Linked DNA regions of Mytilus edulis. The protein of the gene in region 1 purifies or fractionates together with the protein of each later gene. This does not show direct contact. Links are inferred from orthologs where the notes say so. Each region holds a gene or a part of one and is shown on either strand. Other genes may lie near its edges. The genes, in order: WD repeat-containing protein 20-like and F-box/WD repeat-containing protein 5-like.

Region 1 (11,713 bases):
TAGCCACTGATTCTATTTAGAAAAAAATCCGCGGTCACAATGTATTTAATGTTAATAATTATAGGTCAAAGTACGGCCTTAAAGACGGAGCTTTGGCTCACCCAGAACAACACTCTCAGCAATCTCAGCTTGTTTTTGCATAAAATTTGCTTCCAGGTTCAAGCAATCCTTAAAGTAAGGAAATCAAAGGAAAAAGGGTGATTTTAAGGCATTTTACTGAGAGAAAAAAATTTGTTTTTTTCAGTCGGCGGCCCCCGAACCCCTGCCTCCTCTGAATTAGAACCCTAGTTACGGCCCTGATAGCATATTAATCCTGAATACACCGTTTGGTGGTGCGCCTGTCAGATGCGGAACGTACAGATAAGGTAATCGGTAACAGGTGAATATACTATTGGTATCGGTATCGGACTCGAACCGGAACTTCTTAATTATTGGCAATATTAATTACGTGGAAAACAAAAGGGCCTGGAGTGGTGTAATTTTTAATCTACATCTTTGTACTGTATTAGTTATATATAAAGTTGAATTCTTTGATTCGTCGTTTTTACGTGATGACGGCTGACAAATTTTAGTATTATAGATATAGACAATATTTATTAGCACAAACTTCTTCTTCTTCAGGAAGTCCACCCTATCTGCAGGGTCACCGCATTTAAAAATTTTGTTTATTTCTAAAATAGCGTTATTTAAAATTCTATCTACTGGTTAAAATTTAAAATAATAGTAACAGAGTTAGAATAGGATAAAACTAAAAATTAGTTAAAAACAGGAACTTGTATGTACACTAAGCATTCAGTAAAATTATAAAATGGATAAAAGTAATATCTGATCAGTTGTTTAAATTTCTCTTAGCAAAGGAAAGTGAAAGGAACTACTAATCTGTACTAGCATGGAAGTATTATATTGACAATATAATACTTCCATGGTACTAGTAATTGGTTAAATTTATTGACTAGTATGGTTTCATAATTAGTTTAAATATATGTTATTTACATTAAATGGTTATAACCCGAATAATCCAGTCGTTATATTATGATCACTTCGATCACTCCATCCTCGAGAAAAGTAGTGGATAGAGGGGCGGAATTATTCGAGTTAAAATGGTTATGGCATACAAAATTAGGACAATAAACTGACAATAGTTAATTTGATTATAATTATATTAGCGTGACAGTGGTATTCATTAACACATTATTAATGTTCATAAACAATTAAAAAAAAAGAACACAAACAAAAAATTAGGTTGCATATTAAAAGAAATACAAGTTATACAGATGTTCTCAATAAAAAAACAATCATTAATATACGTTAGAAAATTCAATAAAAAAAAATTCGGGAAAATTTCCCGAATTTTTCATTGTACTAATGAACTCAAAATCGTTCAATTTTTTTTATGTCATGTTTTGAAATCCCGGACCTGCGCAGAAATATATTTATCAGTCTAGTAAAATATAGGTATCTCTCTATCCATGCTTTGATAATTTTTTTATTTTGTCCTTTATTTGCATACATACGTCTTAGTATGCTATAAATCAAATATTAAAATTTGTGAGTCAAATCGGTGGTTATGGATTTGACAGCTAATGTCCCTTTAAGGTGGCTCGTGGGTACAAAAATTTTAGCAAAAAATTAAACCTCTATTTTTTCATTACAAATTTTATTTATTACACTATTAGTTGTTACTTTATGATATGGTACAAAAAACAACCCAAAAAAATGATTTGGTTTGGCCCCAGATGACTTTAAAAATTGAAAAAGCTCCAAATTATCTCCCTTTGCTGCAAAAATGCCATTTTTTGGCCTTAAATTTGAAATATCTTTTTTAACTCATCGGTGACCTATATTTTTTATTATTGTTTTCAAATAAGCTGTACATAAACTAAATAATTGTAAAATTTAAGCGATTTCTTATATTAGGTTATTTTTTTATTTCGATATTTCCTCTTTTTCTCCTATTAGTTCAACAGAAAAAAAGGACATTAACAAAAATGTATGCTTCTTCCAGAGGCAGATTTTAGCTTAAATGAACGGTGACCCCATTTTTTTATTTCATTTTTCTTTTAAGTATATGATAAAGTTCATTCATGAAAAAATATAGCGAAATCCTATATTAGAAAAAAAAAATTATTTATACCCAGGAGCCCCCTTAATAAGCATTGATACATAAATTATATATACTAAAAAGTTCTTAAAGAGATTTTAAAATATTTAGCTGAGCTCATAATATAACATTCAGTCAAGATTTCATACGAAGGATTTATATGGGGACGAAGTCCCCAATAACAGTAGAAAATTCAATAATAAAAAAAAAAATCGGGAAAATTTCCCGAATTTTTCATTGTACTAATGAACTCAAAATCGTTCAATATTTTTTTATGTCATGTTTTGAAATCCCGGACCTGCGCAGAAATGTACAATGTACTTCCTTTTCCCGGTCTCGTTTGTATGAAACTTTGAGTAAAATATATATTTATCAGTCTAGTATAAAATAGGAAGGAACGTGCAATACCAATTTCATTTTTAATAATTATTTGATATGAAAAAACGTTACCTGATGATAGCGTTTCTTTGTCTATATTGCATATGACGTCATAATTTGAATAACGTCACAACTAAAATCCCTAACAACAGAACCAAAATCGGAAACGTTACGATATTTCCGTTTCTTATTTTTAACAGTGTTTGGAGGGAAGGACTTCTCACAAAACTTTATGATAACGGTGTTAAAGGTAACATCTGGAATTGGATTAACAATTTTTTAAAGGAAAGACAAGCAAGGTGTGTGATTAACAACCATAAAGGAAGCTGGTTTGAAACCAAAATAGGTCTCCCACAAGGATCAGTTATAGCTCCACTTCTTTTTAATATCTTTATCAAAGACATTTTTGCTAACCTATCATGTAAAAAGTGTAAATTTGCTGATGATGGTACTGTATGGATAAATGGAAAGAACTTGAATGACATGGAGAAACAGGTACAAAAGGATCTTAACATAATCCAGGATTGGACCAAAAAATGGAGAATTAATTTGAGTATTGAGAAAACAGAATATTGTATTTTTTCAAGGAATGGTCCAATAAAGAAAATGAATTTACAACTAGAAGGTAAATTGTTAAAATATAACTGTAATCCAAAAATATTAGGAGTCACGTTAGATGAAAAACTATCATTTCTCAAACACATCGAAAATGTGGAACAAAAGGCACATAAAGCAATTAGCCTACTTAGAATGATCAAAGGAGTTGCAAAAATTTCTACAAAAATTCTACTTCAAATTTACCAAAGTATTGTCCTTTCCACCTTAGAATATGCAAGTAGTGTTTGGCAGACCTGTGAAACCAATATAACAGACAAACTGAACAAAATTCAACGAAAGGGATTAGCTATATGCCTTAATGTTACTCCAACATCAAGTGTAGAGACTTTGGAAGTAGTTTCTGGAATCCTACCAATACATCTGCGTAGAGAAGAAATTGCAACTCGTACACTTGCAAAAATTAATTCGTATGATATCTCCATTCCAATAAAACAAATCCTGGATGACTGGAAAACAATTGACATCCCTGAAAAATATGTATCTCCAGTGGGAAAAATGATTCTTCAGGCAGAAGACATGAAGGTATGTACAGGTGTTGATGTAAATGGTATAGAAGCAGAATTTGAGTTTAATGGGATACGAAGATATAAATCTCCTCCAGATTATTGGAAAAACCTTGGAAATTCCAAATCAAGATCAACAGACCAAAAAAATGTTGGAAAACTCATTATAATGGAAAAATTAAGTCATCTTCCTGCAAATTCATGTATAGCATTTACTGATGGGTCCTGTCTTGGTAGTCCTGGCCCTGTAGGAGCAGGTGCTGTCATCTTTCCATCAAATAATCAACCACAAATTGAAATTAGTAAAGCTGTATCCAAGAAAGGATCAATACTACTCGGAGAACTGATCGCCATTAAACTTGTTGTTGACCACTTTTTAATATCAGAAAACAGACAAAACACAGACTCAATTACACTTTTTTCAGATAGTCAGACCTCAATCGGAATTTTAACTTTAAACTGGAAATCAGAGAATTACATCAAAGTCATAAGAGAAATTAAGAAAAACATGAAAGTATTAATGATGAATGGAATTCCATTAAATTTTGAATGGACACCTGGTCATGCTGATATCCAAGGAAATGACATTGCTGATTCACTGGCCAAAAAAGGAGCTAAAGAAGCTGAAAAAATAGAAGAACCATCAGAAGTAACCAGGCAGGATATAAAACGTGCAGCAAGAGAAAGTGTTTTAAGAAAATGGCAGAACCAATGGGAATCAAGTCAACGTGGCAGAAATTATTACAATTATCATCAAAATGTCTGTCAGAAAATACCAAAAGATTTACCATCCAAATGGTCGTTTTCAATTACTACTAGTTTGAGAACAGGTTATTGTGATCTAAATGATTATAAATCCAAAATTATACCATCATCAGACAAAAACTGTTCCTGTGGAGAGCCAGAAACTGTAGAACACTATCTTTTACATTGTTCTAACTATGAGGAGGCTAGAGAGAGAATGAGAACATCTATTTACTTTATTACAGGAAATATACACATGGATTTAGACACCTTATTAGGAATCGATGAAGAAGACATTAATAGAGACAATCGAAATGAGATATTGTGCCATCTGGAAAATTATTTAACGGAGTCTGGTAGATTCAAAAACACTATACAGCAAAAAACACTATAAATCTATATCAAAATTAAGTCAAAATTTTTTAAGCAGCAGCCACAATTTCAATTAAGTACATGAGTGAACATTACATATGTGAAGAAACTACAAAAGAGGAAACGTACACAAGTGTTTACAGTGTCATTTGGGACACTTACTAAAGACTAAAGACTAAATATTTTTAAAAGTTACAAAAAAATAATTCATACAGACTTCTTCCCCATTTACAGGTAATGCCTGCCTCATATTATCTGCTAAAGATATGGTAAGAAAAGTTGATAATTTGTGAATGAATTTGACCGGTCATCTGAAAATAAGCTTGTTTAGTTATCAAGTGAACATGTAAACAAACACACGTGTTATTGTTTACCTATTTCACGGAAGTTTACATGACGCATGCGTACTTATCTTATCCGGGCACCTGTCGAAAACTCAATTTCAATATGGCGTCCCAAAGTGAGGGCGGAGGAAAAGATGACATTAAAACTCACTTTGTAACCCGGGAAGGGACGTACAAATTGATGCCATTGTCAGAATATTCAAAACCTACCCGAGTTCCCTATAATGGTCAAACTAACACTCCATCCAGAGTGTCATTCATTAATGTAAACGATGGTTCTCCGTCGCCAGATAGGATATGTTTCAACGTTGGCAGGGAATTGTATTTTTATGTTTATAAGGGCGTAAAAAAGGTATATTTTGCAAAGTTATGTTACAGAATATAAAAACAACTTGCATAAAATATATATGTACTTCACAATCACAAAACACCACTCCAGGTATTGTAAATTTTGCACCAGACTTGGAATAAATACACATAAAATTTATGATGAAACCGGTATTTAAAATTGAAGTCCGTTGAGGTTTGAATATTATGGCTTTTACTGACATTTTTTTCTTTTGAAATACTAATGATTAATTTATTAACCCAAATTTGCATTCAAACAAATATCATTGCAGAGGATGCATTGTCATGTTTTATTATGTCTATGATGAATAGACCAATTTCAGGTTTGTCTGCCATAGAAGGAAATAAATGTTTTCCTGTAGTGCTTTGAATGCCAGCAGGAAACATTTGACAACACACAGTAAACCTGTATTGGTATAGAAGAATGCAGGGTTCATATAAATGTTCATATTTATTTTTTTGCAGAATTTGCATTTAATTTGTTAATGGATGTGAATATGGTTTTAATTAATAGCTGCCGATATTCAATGTTTTAGGAGTCAAATTATTATTATTATTTTCTATAAAAAGTCGTAGAACATACAATTATTTTTGATAAAAAATATTACTTTTATTGCATGAAACTTTTTTACACTGAACATTTAACATGCATCATGTTCATTGTAAACAAGGAAAATAACAACCTTGGTATTGGGTACATGAGGCGAAGAACATGATAAACAAAGAAAACAGTCTTATGCTTCTACATTGTATTTTTTACACCTGAAAGACATTCCCAAAATTCTACTATGTAGAAGTAAGAAGATGTGGTAAGAGTGCCAATCAGACAATTCTCCATCCAAGTCACAATTTGTAAAAAGTAAACAATTAAAGATCAAAGTGTAGCCATGTTTGTTAAGGAATATCATATATTATTAAGTAAAAAATGAGGGGTAGGAAAATGTCAGTCATCAATAAAACAGTTACCCCAAAAATACTCATTAACATAATTGTCATAATTGACAATAAAAAACTCTGTATTGTATTGTATCAGCATGATCAAGAGTTCAACATACAATGTATATATACACCTAAAACTCATAAAACATCAACATGATCAACATACACCTAAAAAATCTTTTAAGGACAAATTTAGGTCAAACTCATCCAGTTGTAATTGGAAAAAAATATTGTGTATTGCTATGCAGTCGAATCGTGAAAAATATGAACAAACATATAAGATTTTGTATTTATTCTTCAGGCTGCAGATTTGACAAAACCTATAGACAAGAGATTATACAAAGGGACATTTCCTACATGTCATGATTTTAATAGAATGATTATATCCAGTGAGAGTGTTAGATTGTTAGTAGGCTTTACTGCAGGACAGCTACAGCTTATTGATCCTATAAAGAAAGAGCTGGGAAAACTTTACAATGAAGAAGTTTGTATTATTAAGTATTTAAATGTCTACTCTGAAAGAGGGGGGAAGGGAGGGATACATATTATGCCCCATGTTTTGTACCTCCTTGCTTTTACTACGACTTGATTATAAGTGTTTCTATCCACCTTTTGCAGTTCATTCAAAATTCCTACACAATGCAATTTGTATTAAAAAACTTATAAAGCATATATATATATATATGTATATATTTATATATCATACAATTCTTTTAGACAATTTAATACGATTTCATTTCTGCCTTTAATCTTTAAATCTAAAATGGGTAGGAGTTACTGTACAATAATCTGTTGATTATGATTTTTACCTAATTTTTTGTTTTTATAAATAAAATAATAAGACTTTGATGTTTTAATGAAATAATTTGCTTAAAAAGTGTGGTGAGGGAAAACCATGGTATATTATATGCAAATTGATGTACCATACTTTGCTAATTAAATATGCAACTCAACTAGAATCCAAAGGAAAGAAGGCGGAGCTTAGCTATGGTACAACATATTCATTTTCATGATTTCCATGGCTGAAGCTCCACCTTTTTTTGAAAGGTGTCCGCCTTTGAAATTTTCAGGAAACTGAAAAATGTACTAAAAGGTCAAGATCTTCATTTGTTTTCATTTTATAACAAAAAGCAATAAATCATGTGTACCCCATCTCAAGAAACTTTTTTCAAACTATATAGAATTGTTACGAGTTCCCTTAATTTTGGAAAAAATATTAAATGTTTCTTCTTTCACTTGTGAAAAAAAAAAAATGTAATACTATCGTTTCCTTTGCTAAAATTCAATGAAATTACGATTCAAATAGGGGGTAACTATACATGTACATGTAGAAAAGAAATAAATATCGGGAACAAAAATCTGTGAAAAACATAATTTTTTATTTGCGATCAATTAGGGGGGTGTACACTATCTGCGGTCCCTTGATCCGACACTGTTTAAATACAGTGTTTTATCATTAAAATTGTGTTTTAATAAATAATCTAAAAATCAAAATAATGAAATAACGGAAGAAAAGCAGTTTGTACGAAAACTATACATGTATAAATATGCATTTTTCAATTAGATGAACAACCTGTAAGTTATGATTAATTTTATGATACCTTGAAACTCAACAAAAAACAATAATCTTACCGCCATTAGAATAATAATTTAATCCTTGTCCCTGGAATCCGACATTTTTATTTACTTTCTGATGACCTTATGAAATTACCTGCCTCTACGATCATACACGGGGCGCAAAACTAAAAAATCGGGAAAATCCGACATTTTCTTGACTTTCTTCAAATTTGGGGATTCTATTACATGAAACACACAGAAGATCATACCGAGGCGCAAAAGTGACTTGCACGAGCTTCCATTTCATTGGATAAAACTGTAACGTGATCAATTTACAATATTAGTTCAAGGTCTTGAAGCTGTCAATCATTTTATTTATATTACAAATTTTATATACCCTGTGTCTTACTCATTAACATATTTAAATAAACTCATCCTTCGGATTCGTTTGTTTAAATATATGTTAATTGTAAGAACCATGTTATATATAGTACTTAGCTAGACAAGATCTGCATATATACATTGTACATATAATACATGTAGGTCAAAAGTGCTGATAATTGCATTGTCAGTCCACTTCTTAGTTATTTGCCCTGATGTACAAATGTACATGTACCCTTTGATGGGGATGGGGGATGGGGGTATTACAGCGTCCTTCACAACAATATAAAATGTGGAAATTTTTGGAAGGAGTTAAACCGCCGGACAAAAAGTTAAGATAACTGAAAATCAAAAGGAAGATCGAAATAAAGTATACGAAAGTGACAAAAGGAAACGCAATTACCAAAAATCATGGGAAAAAGATCGTGAATGGTTGCATTATATAGTAGATCGAATATTTCTGGACAGCGCTCCAGACGACCTATAGTCAGGCACCCTATGGTCGTCGTGAGGATTGCGATGACGTGGAAGACAATGTTGGATATTTTTTCTGTCCTTGATCCTGATTTTGATAAAGAAAATTATTGAGATTACCAAAGCCTTTATCAAAATCAGAATAAAGACTATTCCTTTGTTTAACTTGTGTAAAGGAAAGCACTAAAAATAAAATTAAACATCTGTTATTTATATTAGTGTTTGTCAAATTAATGTCATTTTTGCAGGACCAGTAGATTTGGAGCCGGACCAGTAGAGTTTTCAGTCCACTGGTCCAGCTGGCCAGTACACAAAAAAGCTTAAATTCGACCCCTGACCTAGTTATGTAATTTAGGCAAAAACTCTTAAAGACGGAGAGAAACTGAAAAAGAAGAAAAAAGATCAGCAATACAATATAAAAAAACAATATATCTAAATCATGAACTATATTCTAGTCTTTCAATATAAATGTTGAAGATTGGCCATTGTTGAATATATTTATAATGTATCAAGCTGAGACCTAGTTTAGGAATTACTGCCACTTGCTGAGACAGTCAAAGTGAAGAGTGCAGTTCATGTTCAAAACAAGGAATTTTTGTCTCTTATATCATCAGGATCATTAGATTCCTTACTTAAGGTGGTACCTAACACTACAGGGAGATAACTCTGTAAAGTTAGCTAAACGTGGTTTAATTACGTTGTGTTGGAAAAGGAATATTAAGCTTCTCAATGATCAAAATTGGTGTTTGTCAAACTACTATATAACCAGTGTAATTTTTCTGACAAGACGATTGGTTCAAAATTTTTGAATTTTTTGAATTTTTGTTAAAGGGTCAAAGTAAATAATTTTAAAAAATTTTATGAAAATTAAACGAGCCAAATTAATTTTAGTGAAAGTGTTGGGTACCACCTTAATTTACTCCAGGTTTATGTAGCTTTTATTAGGTAAAACTAAACCTTCCTGTATAAGAGAGGCAAACTATACCACAGGGACATTCAAACTCATACATTTAACTGACAATGCCAAAAAAGAAAAAGACCAACAGCTAACAATAGTACACAAAATATAACATAACATAGAAAACTAAAGACTGATCAAAAGGAACACCAACAAAAACTGGAGGCGATCTAGGGTGCTCCTGACGGGTAAAGAGATCCTACTCCACAAGTGACACCTTGGAGAAGACATTACTAAGTTGTAAAACCTGTGTCTAATCCATTTGTCATTTTGAACAATAAAATATGTTTAAACTAAACAAGTGACACCTGTCATGTTGCTCATGTTAAAACAAACCCGGTAATAAAGCTAGTTTTGTAGGTCACATTAGGGAAAAGGGGACAGGTGTAATGTAAAAGGGGACATAATGTAAAAGGAGTTTTACTTCCATCAATGGCATCATGTCCATGTTATCAAATTCATTGACATAATTATAACATACCTAGGCCTGTATTCTTGTTACTAAAAGTGAACTAAGACATTAAAAATCAGACTAATCATGTTGGTACAATTGGGTTCATTATCATATAGCATTAATATGTTTCATCAAGAATATGCTTTTAAATTGCATTTAGTGTCTAAGATATAAATTTTTTTTTTCTTCAGAGATTAATAGACAAAACCAAAGTCACATGTATAAAATGGATCCCTGGATCAACCAATCAATTCATAGTATCACATTCTAGTGGCCAGATGTATATTTATAATGAAGAACTGCCGTGTGGCCCCACCCCTCCTCATTATCAACCGTTTAAACAAGGAGACAGTTTCTCAGTGTTCACGTGTAAAACAAAAAGTACCAGAAATCCATTGTACAGATGGATGGTCGGGCATGGACCAATTAATGAATTTGCATTCTCCCCCTGTGCTCAGTATCTGGCTGTCGTGGGACAAGATGGCTACCTGCGTGTTTTTAATTACAATTCCATGGAATTAGTAGGATCAATGAAAAGTTACTTTGGTGGTTTATTATGTGTGTGCTGGTCACCCGATAGTAAATACATTGTAGTAGGAGGTGAAGACGATTTAGTAACAGTTTGGTCTTTTATTGAAAAACGAGTTGTTTGTAGAGGTCAAGGACATCGATCATGGATAGGGGTCGTTGCATTTGACCCTTATACATCAGTGTTTAGTGAAGAAGAGAGTGACTCTTCAGACAAAAAGACTGGGTCTGGTAATCATGAAAATGTTGTAAATGGTAGCCTACAATCCAATAGAAATTCATTAGAATGTCCGTCAACATCATCATCATCGAATATCACTACATATCGATTTGGGTCAGTGGGACAAGATACAATGCTATGTTTATGGGATATTACAGAAGACATTATCAAACAACCATATGGACGCTCACGGACAAGTATTCTGGTCACACCAAACGCTTCACATACATTACCTAGATGTAATAGTTTACCGCAGTCCCAAAAATCCAATTCAGTAGCAAGTGACCTTAGTTTAGATGGGAATGCCCATCCTGTGACTAATCATACATCTAGTTTAAGTACAAAATTTGCAACATTAACTTTAGCAGATAGAAAAGAAAGCCAAGAAAGGAAGGAACATAAAAGAAATTTTAGTTTAGCAAGTCGAAGTGTAGACAAAAACAGTATATTAAGATCTAACCATGTAAAACCTGTAGACGATTCAATTAAACTGTTAGGCACATCAGCTTGTCCTCGATTAGAGGAATCACCCATCTTAGAACCTTTAGTGTGTAAACGAATAGCATCAGAAAGATTAACTGAACTTATATTTCGGGAAGAATGTATAGTGACTGCTTGTCAAGAAGGATTAGTTTATACATGGGCTCGACCTGGTTGGACGTGTCCACAAGGGTATGCGGTAGGTACCACACACTAATTTCCATTCAATATCATTGCAGAAACATTGTTTACTAGGCCAGGATTTTTTAATTTATTGGTTTACGGATCCGCCGAGCCGATTTTGCTGATTTCCA
Region 2 (11,713 bases), on another chromosome or scaffold:
TCGTGAGGAATGCCATCAGTACCACAGGCTTTTCCAGATTTGAGACTTTTCAAAGTCTGTGAAATTTTATTTTCGTCGAAAGTAACCGATAGGGGAGAATCTGATATTAATATATTTTCGTCAATATTTGTAATAAGGTTTTTAACATCTTATTGTATTATAAACTATATATACGTATTATAATGAAACATACATCTGTTAAAAAACGGGCACAGGACGTTTGCGCTTTTTTACCTGTAAAACGATAGGACATTTGCGCTTCAAATACTATGGACATTTGCGCTTTACATTTTGATTCACCTGTATTACATGACCGGACATTTGCGCTTTTTTCTTACAGTCGTCTACCTGTAATTTTAATCAGACGTTATCATTACTTTAATAAATTTAACTAATATTTGTCATTAGTACGACAAATGGTCTAGAATCCTTCCCTTGCCCACAAAAGTGAACAGTTCGACTCGACTCATCCTGCTGTTTTATATCTTTTTGAAGAGTATCATTGAAACAGTCTATGTCTCTGTGAATTAAATTAAGATTCGTAATATTGATGAACAGGCACCCCTGTCAAAAATTGAGAAAAGGGAAACTTTAATATGTATTTGAAATGTGGGCGAAATACTAAATATGTTCACTCCTTTGGCTTCAGATATCAAGCGAAAACTGACCTGTGATGACTGTGCGTGTTTTTATGTCTTTAGAATGTTTACTTTTAGTCCAGTGTATATAGACTTTTAAACACATATCAATGTGCTATGACATGTATGTTCTATATGAAATGTGTTTTAAAAAAAATATTACTTAAACTCTGCCAGGTCACACATGCCAGTTCCAAGACCGGTTTAAAAAGCAGGATCGTCATAAAAACCAAATATTGCAAAAGCGCAAATGTCCTATGTTAAAAGCGCAAATGTCCTTTTTTAAAAAGCGCAAATGTCCTATGATTTGAAGCGCAAGTGTCCTAAAAAAATAAGCGCAAATGTCCTATGAAAAAGCGCAAACGTCCCACGCCGTAAAAGAGCATGTATACTAATTATGTTTTCTTAAGATTTTGCCCCAAGCTGATAGACAAAATTAATTCTAATTAATTTTATGTTTTTTTTTTATCAATAATAGCAATCAATATACTGGACAATTGAACTGTCAAATTAATTACCACGACCACAATTTTTAAATAAAACATACCTATTTAATGATTTCAATACAAATTTATATCAAATCTAAAAAAAAAAAACAAAAAAAAAAACGGTTAACCGGTTAGCGTTTTTGGTATTCGGTATTTGGTCGTTCAATCGGTTAACCGTTGACAACACTACAGTTTTATAACATTATTTCACTGTTAAATTCTGTCCATAATAATATTTTTAAACAAATTATTACAAAATTTAAAACAATACACACACGCAAGTATAGAGCATGCACATTTTTAGATCTATAACTGAAATTATTTTGCAAAGCAAGTATATGTATTTTACATTTCAAACAAATATGTATTTGAACATAATCTAGTTTTAAATTTACATACAGTTAGATATATAAATATTAATAACATAGTAACAGAGATACATTATAAATGGTTAAAGAGGCACTAGCTGTCAAATTTATGTTCCATGATTTGGGTAAAATTATTCTATTTGATTTATAGCAATGTTAAACAGTTATCCAAATGATATCCAAATTATATAAAGTCTAAAATAATCAACTTACAATGCAGAGGCTCGATAATATGAAGCTTCGTTTCGTGTGCATTTTAGTCGAGACGCCATATAATTAACTATCGAGTTGAACTCCGTATACCTCCGATGGCCATATATAAGCAATAAAAACATACATATAGATAAAAATAGAACCTGGACTCGTCCATTTGGATTTTTGTCTAGGTCTGAATTATTTTCATATCATAGATTAAAAATATATGTTAATCATCGTTTTTACCTGTATAACTGAATGACTTTTATATGGATAGAATCAGTCAATTGAATAATTTACCATTGTTTCACTTTCAAAGTTGACATTCTTTCCCTTGAAATAATCCAGTACGCATGACTGATGCGTTATCCATCTCTAGCTAGAGGTTAAATTGAAGTTCACATGAATATGGATTCAATACGGTCGACTTATTCACATCAGAGACAAATATACACATGTGTATATATGTCTCTGTTCACATCCAAGTGAATGCCGATTTATCATCAATTTTTCTTAGCCTATTTTGACAAAATCGAACTATACTGGCTGCTTTAAAAGAAGGTTTATTTCGCCATTTCACTTTCATTAATGATTGAACAAAAAAAATCATATATTATTAAAAAATATATATATGACGTTACGCACCTCATTGGAAAATCGGTGTAGTTGGCAAGATGCAAGTCCAAAATATATAATTTTGTGATATCATATTCATAACTAATTATACGCATTTTAAAAAATAATGTTTTTTTAAAAATAAAAACGAAAAAATAATCGTTGAAACTATGTTTAATGCTGCATGCGACAAGCTTCATTTATAAAAAAAATGCTATTTTTAGGTTGTCCTTGGTAACATATTTCATTAATTGTAACCACGAAACTATGATTTTCGTCTAAACTATTTAATATTTTGAAAAATGTTTTTTTCCATTATTTAACAGAAAGGTTCCTTCAGTTTGTTTCGCATTTTTTTATGACGTTATGATGACGTCATAAAAAATAAAAGCGTTCCATACTACAAGGGCAAACCACGGGGAAAAAATTGGGGTTCCAGATTTGAGAATCAAAAAACATTTATCTAAAATGGAAAAAGTTTAGTTTTTGTATTTACTACATCAATGTTAATTTGCTTAATTTTATGAATTGAAAGACAAATATCCTGAAAAGTGATATATGGTAATTTTTGAGCGATTTCTCAAAGGCTTACAGTTGTCGCACCGCCTTTTTTAGACGTTAAGCTTATCAGTGCTCTAATAATGGTAGAATTTTATGCTTTTTTAAAATGTTATTTTTCTTAATTGTTCAAAAAACTAAAATACATAAATTTTCGATAAGTAGTTAAAAAGCGCCGTCGATTTTGCGGAGTCTTATAAGAATGTCGCACTTGCTTTTAAAAAAACAACGTTTCAGTCGAATTTTTGTTTGAACGTTACGAAATATTCGCGACGTTGTGTTACGCCAGAGACATATATACACATATATATGTCTCTGGTAACGCTTACATGTACGAACATCGCGCGTAACGTCTATATATTTCGCGCCGTAGCTAATGCCCTTTTGATACATTTAAGAATTGTCTAACATGATATTATACGGAATAAATATAAGTGATGTACTGACGATCACTTATACTTGTTTCAAATTGAATGTTCTAATAATATTCATAAATAGGTTGACGAATTTTTCACAGCAGCGCCTTTTGGAGGTATGGTAGTACTGAATTGTCCTTCTTTTACAATACCCCCATTTCATGAGACAAAATTTCATGACAAACTGTATATGAAATTTTGTCTCAATATACACTGCCTATGACCTCCCTTCGACAGAATAAAGTTTCATAGTACAAAATTATATTCATCTATGAAAAAATTGTCTATATATACAGTAAAAATTTCATTATGAAAATTTGTCCTTCGCTGGACATTTTTCATAGATGAGAACAATATTTCATGATACATATCCATGAAATATTGTCTTGGTGACAATATTTCATAGGAAAATATTTTGCTTTACATATATACGTGTACGTATAAAACTAGTTTTGAGATAGTTAAAGGACATGTCTCATTGTCTTGAAAATAGCCGGATTAGCATGACGTAAATTAGCAGATTCCAGTATTTTTATTATCTCCCCTGATAAATGGTGGAAGAAAAATAAATCGATCAACAGACTCAAGATTGAAAACAATGACATAATTTCCATTTCTTGCATCTTTATAGATCATCACGTTATAATACTTCACTATCTTTTAGAGATATTGAACCATCGATCTTAGATCTGAACTCTATAATACACTTGGAAATTGACAACCAGTGGGCCGATAATTTCTAGGTATTATAAAACTAAATTTATGTGATAGAAAGTGAAATTATTTTAAGTTTATGTAAATAGGTTGGGACTAGTTACCCAAATAGGTAACAATATAACCCGTTTGTCATTAAATAGCTCAAATAGGATTTAAATGAACAGTTCAGAAATTGATTTTTTTTGCAAGAGATCTTCCTAAATTTATATATATCATTCAGAAAAATTTGATGGTCTTAAAGGGAAACTTCGCAAAAAAATCAAAAATTGATATTATGTCCATTCTGTATAAAAATGCTCAAATTTATAGATATTAAAGTTTTATTCCGCTAAATAAGAGATCACCATCGATTTTAAATTTTGAGTATCAGATCTCTACTCTCCGCCATCTTGTCACCTTCTCCGATGAAAAATCCCGATATGTCAATAAACCACAAAGGAACAAAACTACAGTAAACGATGTAGTCGTAATTGCGTGTCGATATCTTGTCAATCGTACGGTTGTTTTATCTGACTGACTAACTTGATACGGAAAATGGTCTTATGTTTTTAAATAACCATATAGTCTGTTATTTTTAAACTGATAATATTGTAATTAGTTAAAAAGTCAAAGTTCAAATCATAAAATGATAAATAAGTGTTCCGTGGAAATTGTTTTCGAAAATCTAATTCGTTCATAATTCTTTCAAGTAATAAACTTTATTTAAATAAATTCGGATCTTCTCTCATCTGATCACCAGCATGGCTAAAGGTATTACTCCCAAAGGTATTGGAAGGGGTGTAAGGTGACACGTCCAGGTATTCAATCGATTTCCTGTCCGGCGGGCTTGCAAGTTCATGCATCGTTTCACTTCTGTAGGTATTGATCAGTGTACACGACCGTTACTTATAACTTTCCATTTTGAACTATCAGGTGCATGTATAATATACATTTTTGTCTTGCGTGTCCGAAAGTGATATAATATACTAGCCATTACTGAACTCATACGCTTGTTTATAAATAACATTTCTGGTGTAAAGAATATTATTTATAAATTAAAAAAAATACGAAAAAAAATAATTGAAGAAATACAAATCTATTTACATATTTTTCCAAGGGTTAATTTGGGAAAATGTAATATATACTCGTTGTCAATAGTTTAGGACAGATTAGAACATACCACAATTATTGATATAAAAAAATGTGCGCACTTGTCGACGATTCGTGTATACATACGCCTGGTAGAAAGTTACGGAACTATAGTCAGTAGCGCAATTTAAAATATGTATACATGTATACATTGAACATAAGAAAGAAACATACATTTTGTGTAAATTGTGGTAAAAGTTTTGTAAATAGACTAGTCCACGTCTGCCAACAGTATGTAATCAACGAATTCGATAGACTATTGTATACCAAAAGAAGAAGAAGAAAAAAGAAACAATTTGATTTAAATACAGGTCAATTTATAACTTGCTTTGGTTCATCGAAGTTAAGAATATAGTAAACTCACAGATTTATATATCAATTAGATTGTTCTCGAATAAAGGACGAAATTCGTCATCATCACAATTGTTCCAACATTCATGTAAAATATATGCAACTGGACGTACACTAATAATCCCCAAGGAATGTGAATATTTTCTAGGAAAACTATTGAGTATCAATTTCGGGATTTATTTTCTTTCTTGATATTCAATGACATCAATTTAAAGAATAAACTGCTTCTCGGATATTTGTCCGCTTTAGGGGTATTCTTGCAAGTTGAACAGACTTATAATAACATTCAAAAATAGGGAAAGATAACATTAAATTCGTTGTCTTTTAATTTTAAACATCGTTGATCAAATAGTTATTTAAGTATATATATACGTTGGGAGACGACGATTATTATAGTTGTCTCAGATTTTAATAAGGACGTTCCCGATTATGAATAAATTTGGTTGACGTTTATCACACTTGAAAAGAATATCTATTCGTAATTTTTCGATTCCATTACAAAAATATTTTTTTCTTTATTCGTACATATTATATTCCGCTTCGGTAGAGTTATCTTCAGATAGTTTCATATATTAATTAATACATGGCTTTCAAAAGTCTAAATGTAAGTGTTCTCGTACATTTTTTCACCTAATAAAGACAAATAAAAATGATTTAGTAAAGCTATTTCTAATTTCTAAGTCCCCCTTTTTTATGAGACATAAATCAAGGACAAGACTTGTATATCATTTCATTCTGACATATGAATTAAGTTTCCCGTCTTTAACCGAAAATTGTGTATTTCTTAGTAAATTAACTTATTTGAATTCAAATAAATAATAGCACCAAATATAATTAAATAATTCCACGGCGACCAATTTTTATTTGTCACCAACTTGAATATGTATTTTTAATGTGTGTATTAAATGCTACCACTGATCCGAATAGACAGTCACACCTGGCAAGGTGTGCCCTAGAGGCGTGGTTAAATACCGAAGTGCAAATAACAATTTACCTTTCAACAAGCCATCTACGAGTATTGCCACAGAACCGTGAATACACACATCGTATAAACCTAGCCATAGCAGAGATAGTAAAAGGTCAATAATAGTACACCAACATATTGTCTTTACAGATTATTGTACTTTAATTTGTTCACCTTATCAGTCCGAAAATGCATTTATTAAATATAAATTTATAACTTTTTGTGTTGTCTACAAAAATAATTCGAATATATACGTTTAACATAGATAATTTATCTCACGAATGAGAACAATTGAACGTCTGTGCGTTTTATCTTCTTATTATCGGATGGTTATTAGATAAAGCATAAGTCATCGGCGCGCTTACGATTACGTTAAAATATGATTAAAAACCAAGACTTTTAATGATTGAATTTTAAATCCCGGCATGCAAAAATCAGGAGAAAACGTCACGACCTACAGGAAGTAGTTGATATTTTTTCATTAATTATTGAATTTCTCCTTTATTACTGCACATATAGCGATAAAACTTTGTGAATATATATATTATGTCATAATGAACATATTTAAACCATAAGTAAAAAATCGTGAATTTTCCCTTTAATTTAATTTTTATGTATAATTTAGGTTAGTAAATCCCTTTACTGTCAGACATCAAACGGTCACTTTTGGTTGCCATTAGCGTCAAATTGATCAAAATTTTATCGTCATTCATCAAAATATCATAATTGTGATTCGTCAGAGGTCTCATATTAGGCCTAAAAAAAAATAATGTTGTGTTTCCGATCACCCCCATGAAATTTTTAAGGGACGGTAGGTAGGTTTTTTTTTTTTTTTGTTTTTTTTTGTTTTTTGTTTTTGTTTATTTTTTGTTTTTGTTTTTTTTTTATAATATTATGCTTCATTGCTGTCTCGGTTTTGTTTAAAGGCATGGACACTAGTTTGGGATTTAATAGAAAGAGATTGATTACCCACTTTAAAAAAATCTCCCCGAGATAACTTTTAGTTTATCCCTTTTAAAATCCCCCTGAAATAACTTTTAGTTTACCCCCTTTTAAAATACCCCCGAAAAAAAATTTAAGTCCAAACCTAAAAAAAATTTTGGGCAGCACTTCCCCAAGAAATAAGCTTTTTAAACCCAATTCCCCTATTTCCGGACCAAAAGTTTGGGATTGTCCGAGAAAGAAATTGAGAAGATGTGGGGCAGATTCATTTATAGGAACATGAACCAAACATCATCCCAAACCTACAGATAGACAAATATATCATATACACTGTACCTGGCAGGACACTTTCTTTTGGCAAAGCATCTGTGGCTTTTCATCAGAATGTCTAAAGCGTTGATTGGCTGACCAGTTTCAGATGGATTAATATCATGTTCATTTTGAAGAAGGGTCTGGCATGAAAATTTGATAAATTTAATTCCAAAAGATTGCATTGTTCCAACAGTTGTGTTATTGTCATCAATCCCCAGTCATTTTTGCCAAAATTTGTGTTGTGTATTTTTTTTTCATCGATGTTTATTGTTAGACATTGGATGAATTTCATTGCTAATGTCAAAAAAGGTGTTACTTTCTGTAAAATTTAGAAATGGTCACACTTTCCGCGTTGAACATTGAATAGGACGCGTTGTGTTGACATGTTCAAACACTGACAAACGAAAATAACTACTGCGCATGCTCCCGCATATATAATTAGATTCCACTTTCCAGTACATTCTAAAAATAAGCCTCGAGTTTAAAATTAGCGTTGTTTTCTTTTGGGGCGATAAAAAGATCGAGGGACTTAGAATTTTTTATTTTCTTTCAGAAAAAACGGTCGGTAGTATACAAATTTTTTTTTTTTCCCACATCAGCTTTAAAAACTTTTGAGTCGGGGGGTCTGAAGGACGGTCGGTCGGGTGACCGGAAACACAACATTTTTTTTTTAGGCCTTAGGGTAACAGGAATGACTGAATAACACTGTTATTATCCGAATAACACTTGAAATTTTAATATTAGCACATTATTGGTGACTTTTAAACATTGATTATTCCATAATAATACATTATCGATGTATTTAATAACTTAAAAATGATTTACAAAAAGCAGATAAGTTCACAAAGATCATTTTATTTTTTGTGTGTGCATACAACACTGTCCAACATGGTGGCTATTGTGATTTCCGTGGTCACCATGTTGGATGTACACACTAAATTTAAAAAGATCTTTATGAACTTACCTGCTTTCTGTAAATCATTTGTAAGTTATAAAATACATCGATAATATACTATTATTTAATAATCAATGTTTTAAAGTCACCAATGTGTATTAATATTAAAATTTCAAGTGTTATTCGGTCATTCGAGGTACCGCTTATATTATAATTGTTACTGTCATTTTTGGAAAAAATTTAACATGATTCGTTTAAATCAGTCGATTTTTTCATTGTCTTAGGAAGTTACATTTTATTGTCATGTACCAAAATTTACATCATTTGACAAGAATTTTTACCATTATTTTTCATGAAAGTACCCCCAGTATGACCCACAATAAATAAGTTACAGGATCACTATATTTACACTTTGAATTCCTCTTATTCATCCTGTTTACTACTGTAAATTGGGTTATTTTGGTTAATTTGTTGCCTTCGATGAAAGTGCCAAAATTAAACACACCAAAAATAAAGCAAACATTAAAAATTGAAACGCCAAAATCATGTACAACAATAAAGTAATGCTAATTGTTGGGAAAAATATTTTATTTTATTACATCTTCCGTATATTTGCTACAATTTTTTACATAGCCAAATTTGCAAATAAATACTTTATATATAATTTGACAACACTATATATGATATAAATTGTAAATTTTCTGAATTTGTTAAGAAAACACAAGTCAACATGAATTTTTATTCACACATGTCATAAATATGCCAGGCTATTGTTGATGTCGTTTTTGGTTATTAAAATATCAAATCTCCTTGTAATCCTTTATCTTCACTGAAACATTTTAACAGACAATACAAATACTGACCTAATTTTTCACCTGTAATCTTGGGATGATCGTGAGTTGAGTTATGGTCATCAGCTTTACCCCAGTGTTTTTTTTAGGTGTAAAAAAAAATGTCTTGTCATGCTTGTAGAAGAACATATTTAGATTTTGCCACATGTTTGCATATACAAAACTGGTCTATACAAGATGATTTACATTGTGTAGAGGAAGGGTGCAATGATAACAATATGTTCATCAATAAAAATAAAACAAAATATATGATTATTGGAACGAAGCAAAGAGCAATGCCTCATTACAATGAGAGTTGTTTAACTATTAACAATCAAGTGATACAATCTTCCACATGCGAAAGTCTTTTAGGCATTAAAATTGACCCTTCCCTAACATGCCGATGGACAAACCAAATTGAGGTGATCTGCTCAAAAATATCATCAAGACTATATCTACTATTAAAGATTAAAAAATTTCTAAATCTAGACTGCAGAAAATTATTTTATAATGGTTATATCTTGCCACTAATTGATTATTGTTGAATAGTGTGGAGTAGTTGTAGCAGTGAGGGTTCAAAAAGGATATTAAAATTACAAAAGAGGGCTGCTACATTTGTACATTAATACTAGAAACAGACCCATTCGCTCCTTCTGCACCCTTATTCAAACACTTAAACTGGATGACAGTTGAACAGAGAATAAAATATCATAAGTTAGTGATGACATTTAAGTGCATTAAATAATGCCCCATCATATCTTACTAACAAATTTCATTATCTTTCAGACAGAAATCCATACCCCTTGAGAAATGCTGTTCAAGGAAACCTCATACTCCCTAAACCAAAAACAGAATTGTTCAAAAAATCTTTTATGTATTCTGGACCATTCTTGTGGAATAATTTACCAATAACGTTAAGAAATATTACAAATGTCAGAGCTCCAGATCAGCTGCGTATTTGCGTGATCACGCAATACAAATAATAAAAAACCCAATGCAATTGCCCATTGCAGGGTTCAATAACCCAATTAATTCAAAGGAAAACCCAATTATATTCCAAAACCATGAGTTCTCAACCCTTTTATTGACTACCATTTGCGTTATTTACCCTTATCTGTTTACAGTCGTCGTGTAAACTATTATTATAATATTTATAATTGGAAATTTCCTGTCGTTCTAAAAATAGATCCCTGCATCAAGCAGCTGAAATGGGTCCCTGTTAGAGTTTTCCGTTGCTCAATAGGTACACATGTTTTTGAAAACATTTCGATCTTCTCGGTGTTCATCCAATTAGCGTGTGTCATGAAGTCATATTTATTTCGCATTGCTCGGGATTTATCATAACATACATTGAATTAAAACAAAAGTGAATGTCCGGTAAAAATATTGAATAGAGGCATGTTTTCTGCTTCTTTTGAAAAGCTTAGGGAAAGTTATGATGATAACAAGACTCAGCCAGTGTTTTTAGGAAGCGTCCATCGAACAAACAGGCGTGTGTGCGTACCTTAACGAGAACATTGCTAATAAAAGCAGGGTTTCCTCAAAAACGAAATCAGTTGGAAAAAGTGAAAGGCCAAATCAATTATGACATGATAAAGCATCAGAAACCAAAAGTTCTAATAAAAGAGAACTAAACCCAGATTTATGAAAATTGGAATAAAACAAAAACATTCAAGTATAATTAGAGTTTATATACTATTTTTTTCATTTTACGGTTAATTAATGAATACACACACAGGCACTGGTCTCAGAATTTATTATATAAAGGTATAAGACGAGTGCCTGTGAATACACATATATATCCGTTTTTTTACAGTTTATATGAGAAAATACAAAACTGGCAGAAGGTTTGAAACGGAACACAAATTAAACCTACAATTGCGTCTCAGTCAATAAACCAAATAAAACAGCTAGCAAATAACCCTAACCCTAACCCTAAACCAAATAAAACAGCTAAACAAAGAAAGAAACATTTTGAAGATGGAAAAAAAATCTGGGGTTGATATTGCCAAAATATTCAATATTGTGTTGATGAAAAAACCCAATACATTAAGGAGCTTGGTGATGAAAAACCCAATTTGATATTAACATGAGGGGTGAATTGGAATTGATAATGCAATCAAAAAACTTTATCACCCAATTATATAAGAAAATGGTGGGTAAAAAACCCAATTTGTGAATTCTTATCTGGAGCTCTGAAATGTTAATTCTTTCAAATACAAAATAACAGATCATTTATTGAAATCAACCTACATGTACATGTAGCTGTATCAATAATATTAAAAACTGATCATGT

What was found.
Region 2: the proteins of WD repeat-containing protein 20-like (region 1) and F-box/WD repeat-containing protein 5-like purify together in Homo sapiens (co-immunoprecipitation; 3 studies listed by BioGRID and IntAct, counting the BioPlex papers as one, with this or other methods). This does not show direct contact. The link is inferred for Mytilus edulis from reciprocal best matches to the Homo sapiens genes WDR20 and FBXW5.

Annotation. Positions count from the first base shown.
Region 1 is NC_092346.1:2,397,618-2,409,330, reverse strand, and holds the start of WD repeat-containing protein 20-like, read left to right. Parts: upstream 1-5,126; 5' UTR 5,127-5,163; coding exon 5,164-5,412; intron 5,413-6,648; coding exon 6,649-6,831; intron 6,832-10,362; coding exon 10,363-11,598; intron 11,599-11,713. Other genes in the region: uncharacterized protein, read left to right, coding at 2,963-4,738. UniProt on the Homo sapiens protein: Regulator of deubiquitinating complexes. Activates deubiquitinating activity of complexes containing USP12. Anchors at the base of the ubiquitin-contacting loop of USP12 and remotely modulates the catalytic center of the enzyme.
Region 2 is NC_092345.1:10,320,865-10,332,577, reverse strand, and holds the start of F-box/WD repeat-containing protein 5-like, read left to right. Parts: upstream 1-3,808; 5' UTR 3,809-4,021; intron 4,022-11,713. UniProt on the Homo sapiens protein: Substrate recognition component of both SCF (SKP1-CUL1-F-box protein) and DCX (DDB1-CUL4-X-box) E3 ubiquitin-protein ligase complexes.